3 linked regions of the Drosophila melanogaster genome follow. The protein of the gene in region 3 interacts with the protein of the main gene of each other region in a pairwise test. Each region holds a gene or a part of one and is shown on either strand. Other genes may lie near its edges. The genes, in order: CG13227, MtnB and CG13721.

Region 1 (2,982 bases), on a different chromosome or scaffold from region 3:
TTGGAGGACTCGGCGGCTTGAAGGGAGGATTCGGTGGTCTTGGTCACGGCTTTGGCGGTGGTTTTGGAGGACACGGTTTCGGCGGCGGCTTCGGTGGACTTGGCAGCTTCAAGAGCCTATTCGGCAAGAAGTTCCGCTAAAGCAACAGCACTCACCCAAAATATAGTCTAAGAGTTTCGTAATAAAGCTTAGTTAAGTAACATTAAAAGTTCCCTGTTTGGTATATGGGATTCAGAGCTCCATAGAACTGCAGTTCAGGTTCGGGAGTGGTGGTAGTTATACCCGTTTTGGTCCTAACGGTGGGCGGAGTTGGTGACTTAGGTTGAAGACGACTAAAGACAAGACGCACATGACTCGCAAAACTTCGCCACAGCTGAAAGGGTTTTGGAACTGGAAAAGGAATAAAATTAGAATTTTAGGATAATCAAATAACAAAATAACACACGTTACCTGAACTTTGAGGTGGTGCCACCTGCGGATCGAATTCCCGCTCATCCAGAGCTGCCACCAGCCCCACAGTGATCCACAGCAGCAGCAAGCGGAACATTTTCTGCAGCTTAGCCTCGTGGCCCCCTTATAAACACCTCCGATCTCAGCTTTCCCCGCCATAAATCGAACGTGTTATTAATAAACTCTTAAAAACAAGCGATTGGATGAACTTGCATAAGGCAAGCAATTTTATTGCACCCAATGGGGCAGCACAAAAGAAGTATCACAAATCACAATCAAGCACAATCAAATCCATGCAAACTGATTAGCCGTAGAATCCACCGCCATAGTAACCACCGCGTCCGCGGTAACGGGTGCGGGTGACCACTCGAGTTCTCTGGAAACCACCGCCGAATCCGCCACCAAAGCCGCCGCCGTAGTACGGTGGTGGAGGTGGTCCAAAGAAGGGTGGTGGCGGTGGTCCAAACGGTGGTGGTCCAAAGTACTGGCGCACTTTCCTAACGTTCTCGTCTGTGGAATCAGACTGGGCCGTTTCTCCGGCGTCCAGCAGCTGAATAGAGCTTGGTTTCTCCTGCACCACTTCCGTTTCCGTTTCATCGGCTCTAACAAAATTGCATAAGAGCAGAGCAGCAATGCTGAAGAAAAATATTATCCACTTGTGATCCATTTCGATGTCGTATTCCTTCTCCAACTTCGTCAAATACTAAAACTCATCGCCCAGCTGGGCTTTAATTTATAGCCAAACATTTGCCAAGAACACCCAGCACCTGGTGTCATAAACAAAGGCAGTTCATTGGCATTTCTTGATTGCCATTGAGTGTCTTTTTTTACATTTTTCGTCTAATTTCAATCGCAGTCAGGCAAAGACGCCGAGAATAATCGTCGGTTTGAAAAACCCAAAAAATCGCTTATACAAATACATAAGGTTGACCCAATCTTAATGGGTATATAAAATGAATTATGATGCGGAAGTGTGAGGCAACCGTGGAACGCAAACTAGATCTCTTTGGATTGTAACTCGATGTGCAACTGATTGAGATCATAATGGGTAGATAATTAACTGTGAATGATGCAAGGTTACTATAATAATAATCAGAGTAAAATATATTCTTAAGATCCATATTTGAAGTACCAAGTAACCAGATACCATTTGAGACGAACATTCTTGACATGACAAGACAAATCAACAAAAGTCGATAAAGACTACAATTAGCAATCCGATAACCCACAATTGGATACCGCTCTTCAGGCCAGCCAACTTGACCCACTGTAATCGCTTGATGGCTTGTTGTTTACCACTTAAAAAGCCCATCCGCCTCGCCTCGCGCGATATTCGACATACATATGTACATATATATATGGAAGCAAATAGCAGCGAGAGACTCTTCCAGAAATAACAGCCAGTTAACTACGGAATATGCAAGCTCATCGACTTTGTCGATTCCAAACACTCGGCAAAATGAAACTCGATCTTGCAGTACTTTTTTGTTTATCCATTGTTTACACTAGAGGGTCTCAAGAAACGCTCAGATTTATTCGGAAACGTCTAGCCAAAGAAACCGCCTTTGAATTTGGCAAAACCCACAGCGCCGCCAACGAATCCGCCGCCTCCGATGCCACCTAGTCCGCCCAATCCTCCTCCAACGGGATAGCCACCGCCATATCCGTAGCCATAGCTGGGTATCGTCTGTATGACGGGAACAGTGGTGATGATGGGCACAGTGGACACAACGGGAACTGTTTGGATAGCGGGGGCTGCCACTATGGGGGCAGCAACTCCTCCGCCTCCGATGATGCCGCCGCCCACGATACCGCCTCCAACGACTCCGCCACCTCCAAATCCACCAATGTGACGGGGTCTTCTAATGTTCTCCTCGTCGACGCTGGAGAGGATCGGTGTGGTGCTGACCACGGCGCACGCCAAGACGAGCAGGTAGACAGTTTGCCACAACATGATGGGGTTAACTGTTTGGTCTGCCCCACTCCCAGCTGCTTATTTATGCAAATTAATTAGTGGCCACTGTTTGCACTTCCAATTTGCATATTGGGGCGCCCGGGTAAAAAACCCATAACTCTAAGGCCCCATCTATGTTTTGGCGGTTCTATTGGGGGAATCATGGTTTTGCCCACTGGTAAGGTGGTTCACACCTCATCATCGTCATCGTTTGTGGTCTGAAGGTCGCCGGCCTGGGCATTAAAAGCCAGGTGATTTAGTTAAGGTAACTCACATCGTTATTGGACACTCAGCCGAGATGAGGTGCGATCTTCAAGTGCATTTTTTGTTATTACTGGCAATTGGCGCTTGGCGGACTGAAGCCCATTCCCTGGGAGGAGGTGGAATCGGAGCGGTTGGAGGAGTGGCAGCCATTGGCGGAGTTGGTGGCATCGGAGGAGTCCAGCAGGTTCCCGTTGTGCAACAAGTGCCCGTTGTCCAACAGGTTCCCGTCGTGCAACAGGTGCCCCTCATCCAACAGCAGCCGCAAGCTCTTGGCCTAGCAGGTGGAGGTGGATTCATTGGTGGCGGAATCGGAG
Region 2 (2,774 bases), on a different chromosome or scaffold from region 3:
ACCGCTCTTTAAACAAAAGTGTGTGAAATGGGTAGCAGTAGCAGGCTATTAAATAAATAAAACTTGGCCAGAAAGTTATTATTTGGCCGATACAAAACGTATCTATTCCATTGGCAGACTATTAAACCCAACATAACGCTGGAGGAATTTGCTGCTAGTAGAGCAGAATATATATGTATTTTTTGAAAATGCAATAAAATCGGCACAACATTTTTGAGAAATTGCCTCAAAAGCGAAATACATTTTATATTCAAAACAAAGTGGGTTGCAATTTCGGCCATTGGCATATGGGCAAAGTTCAGTCGCAGATAAAAGCGGCTAAATAATTTGGTTTCAGTTCGATGGCCACGAAAATTGAATGTTATTTCGATTTATGTTCCGTTTTGCGCACAATTCAATGGACTTTCGGTGAGTTTTCTACCAAAATCACGGCTGATGGATTGGATTTTAATTCCGGTGCAGCTGTCCGCGAACATACAAATATTTGCAAATCCCGCCCAAATTGTCGCATTGCGTTTGCTTATTTTTCATGTAATTCTATTTTGCGGTTTGCTTAACTGAATGCCAGCTCACGTTTATTATTTTACCATAATTGGTTTTAGCTGCCAAAAGCCGAAAATATAATTATCGCTTGGTAAGATGACCGACCGCCCAGTAACAAAAAGTTAACGGCAGAAACTTTTAAATGCTCAAAATCTTTATAAACTTTATTTATTGCGGCCAACTCGTTGGGAGTTAAGCTCCAGTTTAGAAGTTAAACAGTTAGTTATATAGTTGGCCCGCTTATTTGTTGCTGCAGCACTGGTCCTTGGGCCCATTCTTGCAAACGCACTGGCAATCCTTGTTGCAGGCGCAGTTGTCCCCGCACTTTTGGGCCGAGCACTGGCAGTCTGTCGAGGAATCGAGAACGATTGTCAATTATACAGCTTGCTGCTGCGTTGTACCACTTACTTGTTCCACAACCCTTGCAAACCATCTTGTATGTATCTATTTCTCGACTTTCACTTGGCTGAGGCGAACTGATATTCACTTGTTTGCTTGTTGCTTGGCTATTCAACTGATGACCCAGTCCGGCAACTCCCCCACTTTTATACCCACTTCGATTGCCTCGAACTCGAACGAGTGCAAAATTGCACAAATCCAAAACAAATTTGTTTGTTTGACCCAACTTATCACGTCGTGTGCAAGTCTGGGGCGAGTGGTTCGCAATTTATCAGACGATAGGCCAGGCAATTCTTTTTGCGCACGCGATTGCTCGCCAACTCGGTGCACACGAACTCCTCATCAGCTTATCAGCTGCCCACGTTGCGTATACGTTGCGTATACGCCGCGTATCGTGACTCAGCCCACAGCCCAGAAGCACACAATAAAAAGCATGAAAAGCGCAGGCAGCTACCCAGCGGGGTTTTTCACAATAAATAAAAGACTTTCCTGTAGTAAAACAAATTTAAATGCTCATATTGGCTGCAAAAACGCTTTACGACTAAACTCTTTTCAAAAAAAACCCAGCGTAAATGCCATAAAAATATCACATGTGGAAAGCTAACTAAAAATTAATAGAGGAAAAAACGCGCTGCAAATTAGGCAAAAACTATAAGCTCTGCGGGAGCTACGAAAACAGTTCGTTGCACGGAAAACCAAACACCCGGAACAACTTTATATATATTTATGACTTTTAGTAAAAAAAAAGTTTTCGAGAACAAATATAGAAATAGGCCTGACTTAGTTGTTTTTTTTTTTGCTAGGTGTACCTGCAACAAAAGAACGACTTAGATAAGTTTCCTGCAGTCTCTAACTCGGCTAGTTTTTTTACCTTTACTTTTTTACCATTTTATTTACCTTACCTTAAAAAAAAAATATCTTTAACGAGTATAATGAATATATAATTGATTCTTGTGCTTGTGTTGACCACAAGGTTTATATTTAACATCACATAAACATATATAACTTGACCAGCCAGCACCGTTCAGTTAGAGTATGACTTCAGTTCCTTACCACAAATTGCATGAATATCCTCTCGTCCCCAAAGTGTCCTTCGATTTTTCTCCGTGTAGTCCTGGGAACATTCCTGTAGAACTCAATATTTTAGAAAGTCAAGTGGCAGGTGTTCCGTTACCCCAAATTAAATTAAGTAATTATGAGGTCAGCGAAGGGTGTCTCATGCGAATTTAATGGGACACTTTTGATGGGAGCTATATAAACCTAAGACTTATTCTGTCAGCCGATCAAACAGCTGAATCATGCTGTTCCGCAAACGTAAGCCAAAAAGTGACGATGAAGTCATCACCTTCGACGAACTTACCCGGTTTCCGATGACTTTCTACAAGACCATCGGCGAGGATCTGTACTCCGATAGGGATCCGAATGTGATAAGGCGTTACCTGCTACGTTTTTATCTGGTACTCGGTTTTCTCAACTTCAATGCCTATGTGGTGGGCGAAATCGCGTACTTTATAGTCCATATAATGTCGACGACTACTCTTTTGGAGGCCACTGCAGTGGCACCGTGCATTGGCTTCAGCTTCATGGCCGACTTTAAGCAGTTCGGTCTCACAGTGAATAGAAAGCGATTGGTCAGATTGCTGGATGATCTCAAGGAGATATTTCCTTTAGATTTAGAAGCGCAGCGGAAGTATAACGTATCGTTTTACCGGAAACACATGAACAGGGTCATGACCCTATTCACCATCCTCTGCATGACCTACACCTCGTCATTTAGCTTTTATCCAGCCATCAAGTCGACCATAAAGTATTACCTTATGGGATCGGAAATC
Region 3 (3,378 bases):
CGTTTCTCGGCTACCGATTGACCTTAGATCAACTGAATAAAATGTATGCTAAAGTTTCTCTGTGAAATCAAACGATTATTGTCGCACCATCGCCGCCGTCTGCCGGCCGTTAATCTTAGATGTCCATTGTCCGTCGCTTCCGTGACCTTTCGGACTTGATGTCTGACTTCCAATATCCGATTGTTGCCTGTCAAAATCCGATCAAGACAAATAGTCTTGGGCAGCACCGTTCGGCGAGTTTATTTTGAGAATCTGAGACACTTGGCTTACACAATGCTCGCTCGCCTTAAGAGATTTATGGTATTCCACTCACAAATTACGCATACGCCGAGGGGTACAACAGGAATCAAATAACCGAAGATTACTTGTACTTTTCTGTCGTTTGTTACCAAACTTTTACGTCTAACGTCCGCTTAAGTTCTTGCCAATTTGTACAGTTAATTTGCTTCTGAAATAAAACCCCTATTAATTAGATTAGGCTAACGATATGGAGCCAATTTTTGTTTAGCTCCATTTGAATTGCAAATTAGCTGTTCGCTTCATGAGGTTTTTACGATGGCATAAAATAAAGAGCTAGGAGTAAAATTAAAACAATCAACAGTAGCCATCAAGCACGCAGGCATTAATTTGTACAAAGTATAACATTTATTTATGTAATATTTAGTTGGTTGTACTCTTTTTTTTGTGATTTTATGCTTTATTGAAGCAATTATCCTCGCCCAAGGGGCAGTGCAGTTAATCTGTTCGCTATCCGGTCAAGAACGCATCGTCTGGCTATTGAGTCTAGTGCTGGCTATTAATGGCTATTCTCTGTCGGCTTCTATTACTAAATGTACTATTTTTTCTAGTGCTGATAGATGTCTGGTGCTGATAGAGTTCTACTGAGGCTGTAAAAGTATTTATTTCTGGTTGGGTTAAGAACCCTTCCTAGAAGTAGTGTCCATAGTGCCCATGGTGATGATGCAATCCGTAGTAACCTCCATAGTATGGATAACCTGCGAGTAAGTAAGTTCAAAGATTATACCCGTTTTGATCTTTATCAAAATTAGAACATAATCCTCCATGTCACGAATTTCCCGAATTTCCGAACGAAATATTTTTACTCTATTCTTCTTATAATCTTACCAATTCCGTAGTAACTGCCGCTGTAATGTGGCCAATATCCGCCGTAGTAGCCACCCAAGTAGGGTGACGAGTAGTATCCGTATCCAAAGGATGCAGCTCCCTCCAGATCCTTCTCCTCAGCCTCTACATTCGCCTCCTGATCGCCGCCCTCCTCACGACCCTCCTGTGGGCGTGGCAGGGCCTCAGATCCGACAAAGAACATGGCCAAAAGGCTGAGGGCGAGCAGCAGGCAAACGGTTCTGGCTTGGAACATTTTGGTGAGTATTTCGGCGGATTTTCTTTGGGCAAACAACAAAGTATTGGAAATGGAAATGCCACTCGGGGCTTACAAAAACTGACTGACTGACGCTGGAAACGTGCACTGTGCTTTTATAATGGCCAAAAAGCGATTCTTGCAACGCCGCATTGCCATCAATGCGCAGCGACAAAACAATTGTCTAAGCGAAAAACGGTTCCCCCTTCAATTTGGGCGACTCCAGCTGCGTGTGCTTCTAACAATTCAAAGAAAACCCCCTCCGAAACATCAATGAATTGGCCAAGAGGGGGGTTGGTGGGAGGCTTCTATTTCTTGCATGACCGACTACTAATTACAATGCTTTGGGCCAACCAATGTTTGTTTGCCTGTTTTTCTCTTACCACCCACCGCCCACTCCGCCACCAATTCAGCCCGCTGGCTGCGATCAGTGGGGTCAATGTCGCAATGGGCAGTGCCCCTCTTCTTTTCTTTAAAGGCCAGAAATTCATTTGCTTACATAATGTAGACCGATTTCTCTACTCTTCGCTATCGATCCACTCTAATTTATCGCTCGTCCCGCCAACACACCAAATAATAATCATAAAAAACCCAACACACGCTCTATAAATTAAATAATTCTTTGTCAAAGTGGCCGGACAACATTCTAATCCCATAAAAAAAACGACGCCCAAAAACTTCAGACTTGGTAGCGAAAAAAAAAAAAAAAACGATTGTGGAAATGAAAATGTTCCAAGAATCCCCGCAAAACTATTACGTAGATCAGAAACCAAAACAAGTATTATCTGAATGAGAGATCCGACAGATCTACATATTTCCCGTGTAAGAGAGGTCAGGTCAGATTTTCTTCCGCTTCATCTGAGCCACTCAATTTCCATGTACCTGCCTAATTGCCGAAAATCTTCTCACAACTTTGCATGTCTGGCGGGGTCAGGGCTTGGGACAATGCGTTTCGCACGTTTGGCAGCTTGGATTCAAGCTCGGGGCTAATTGCCAGCTAGGGCTTATCTAAATTGCCGCATTAGCCAAGAACTTGTGACTTGAGAGTTGGGAGTTGTTGTAATTAGCGGAGCTAAATGCTTGGTTGGCCACCAAGAATCCGCCAGAGATGTAGCTTTGGAGGAGTTGAGGCGAAGAGTTGCAGGGTTAATAAGTTAACTACTTGTTAATAACTTAATAATTATATAAGTTGCATTTAATTAAAACTAACGTAAATGCCATTTAGAAATTTTCATTTCTAACTCCGTTGCAGTAATAATACTTTATTCTTTGTAAATAAATAAGTAACAACTAGCTTAAAACTTTAAGAGCAATGTCTACTCCAAGTCCAATGTGGACACACTTTGATTTTGATTGGGCATGTCGGGGAATCGATGAAATAGGGACGACGAGGGTTTAGTTTGACTATCCAGTCGGGTCTCAAAGATCCCTCCCTCTGAGTTTATCAAGTACCAACTGGGCGTTGGCGTAGCTCGCTGCAGCTCCTCCTTGTTGAGACCACTAATGGGAGCCACAGTGGGTAGCTTTTTGGCCAAATCATCCAGCTGCTTGAGATAAACGTCCAAGGTGCGATAGTCCGTATTGTTGGCCACCTCGTCAGGTGCAATAAACCTTGGTCCCGCCAACTGATCGTGCTCCTGCCACAAGTTGCGTATATTTGTCATTACATCCGCATAGAGTATGGAGTCATCGTTGCGGCCCCAGTTGCTATTGCGGTTGTTATTTGGCGATTTGGATTTGGATTTGCGTGAATTCACCAGGCGACTGGCCAGCGGAGTTGCGGAAGTTTCCGCAAGTGAATTGGCACTTGAAAACACTGATTTGCCAGTGGTTGTTGTTGTCGTCGTTGTCGCCTTGGTTGTTGCTGCTGTTGTGGTTGTTGCCTCTTTATTCCGGAAGTTGCGCCGCCTCTCCTTTAATTTTTCCCGCTCTGCTGACTTGTCGTGCTGTTTGAAAAGTCTTTGGCGACGTCGCCGATTGTCGCAGTTGGTTGCATTGCT

What was found.
Region 1: the proteins of CG13721 (region 3) and CG13227 interact in a two-hybrid assay, tested with the Drosophila melanogaster proteins (one large-scale study listed by BioGRID).
Region 2: the proteins of CG13721 (region 3) and MtnB interact in a two-hybrid assay, tested with the Drosophila melanogaster proteins (one large-scale study listed by BioGRID).

The regions. Positions count from the first base shown.
Region 1 is NT_033778.4:11,233,425-11,236,406, reverse strand, and holds CG13227 (uncharacterized protein), read right to left. Parts: upstream 1,156-2,982; 5' UTR 1,118-1,155; coding exon 755-1,117; 3' UTR 652-754; downstream 1-651. Other genes in the region: CG13217 (uncharacterized protein), read left to right, coding at 1-140; CG34223 (uncharacterized protein), read right to left, coding at 203-390, 451-547; CG13228 (uncharacterized protein), read right to left, coding at 1,997-2,404; CG13218 (uncharacterized protein), read left to right, coding at 2,703-2,982.
Region 2 is NT_033777.3:20,502,555-20,505,328, forward strand, and holds MtnB (metallothionein B), read right to left. Parts: upstream 1,065-2,774; 5' UTR 977-1,064; coding exon 952-976; intron 891-951; coding exon 784-890; 3' UTR 548-783; downstream 1-547. Other genes in the region: Or92a (odorant receptor 92a), read left to right, coding at 2,241-2,774. UniProt on the Drosophila melanogaster protein: This protein binds cations of several transition elements. Thought to be involved in metal ion homeostasis.
Region 3 is NT_037436.4:4,496,281-4,499,658, forward strand, and holds CG13721 (uncharacterized protein), read right to left. Parts: upstream 1,498-3,378; 5' UTR 1,379-1,497; coding exon 1,126-1,378; intron 996-1,125; coding exon 928-995; 3' UTR 603-927; downstream 1-602. Other genes in the region: CG13720 (uncharacterized protein), read right to left, coding at 2,695-3,378.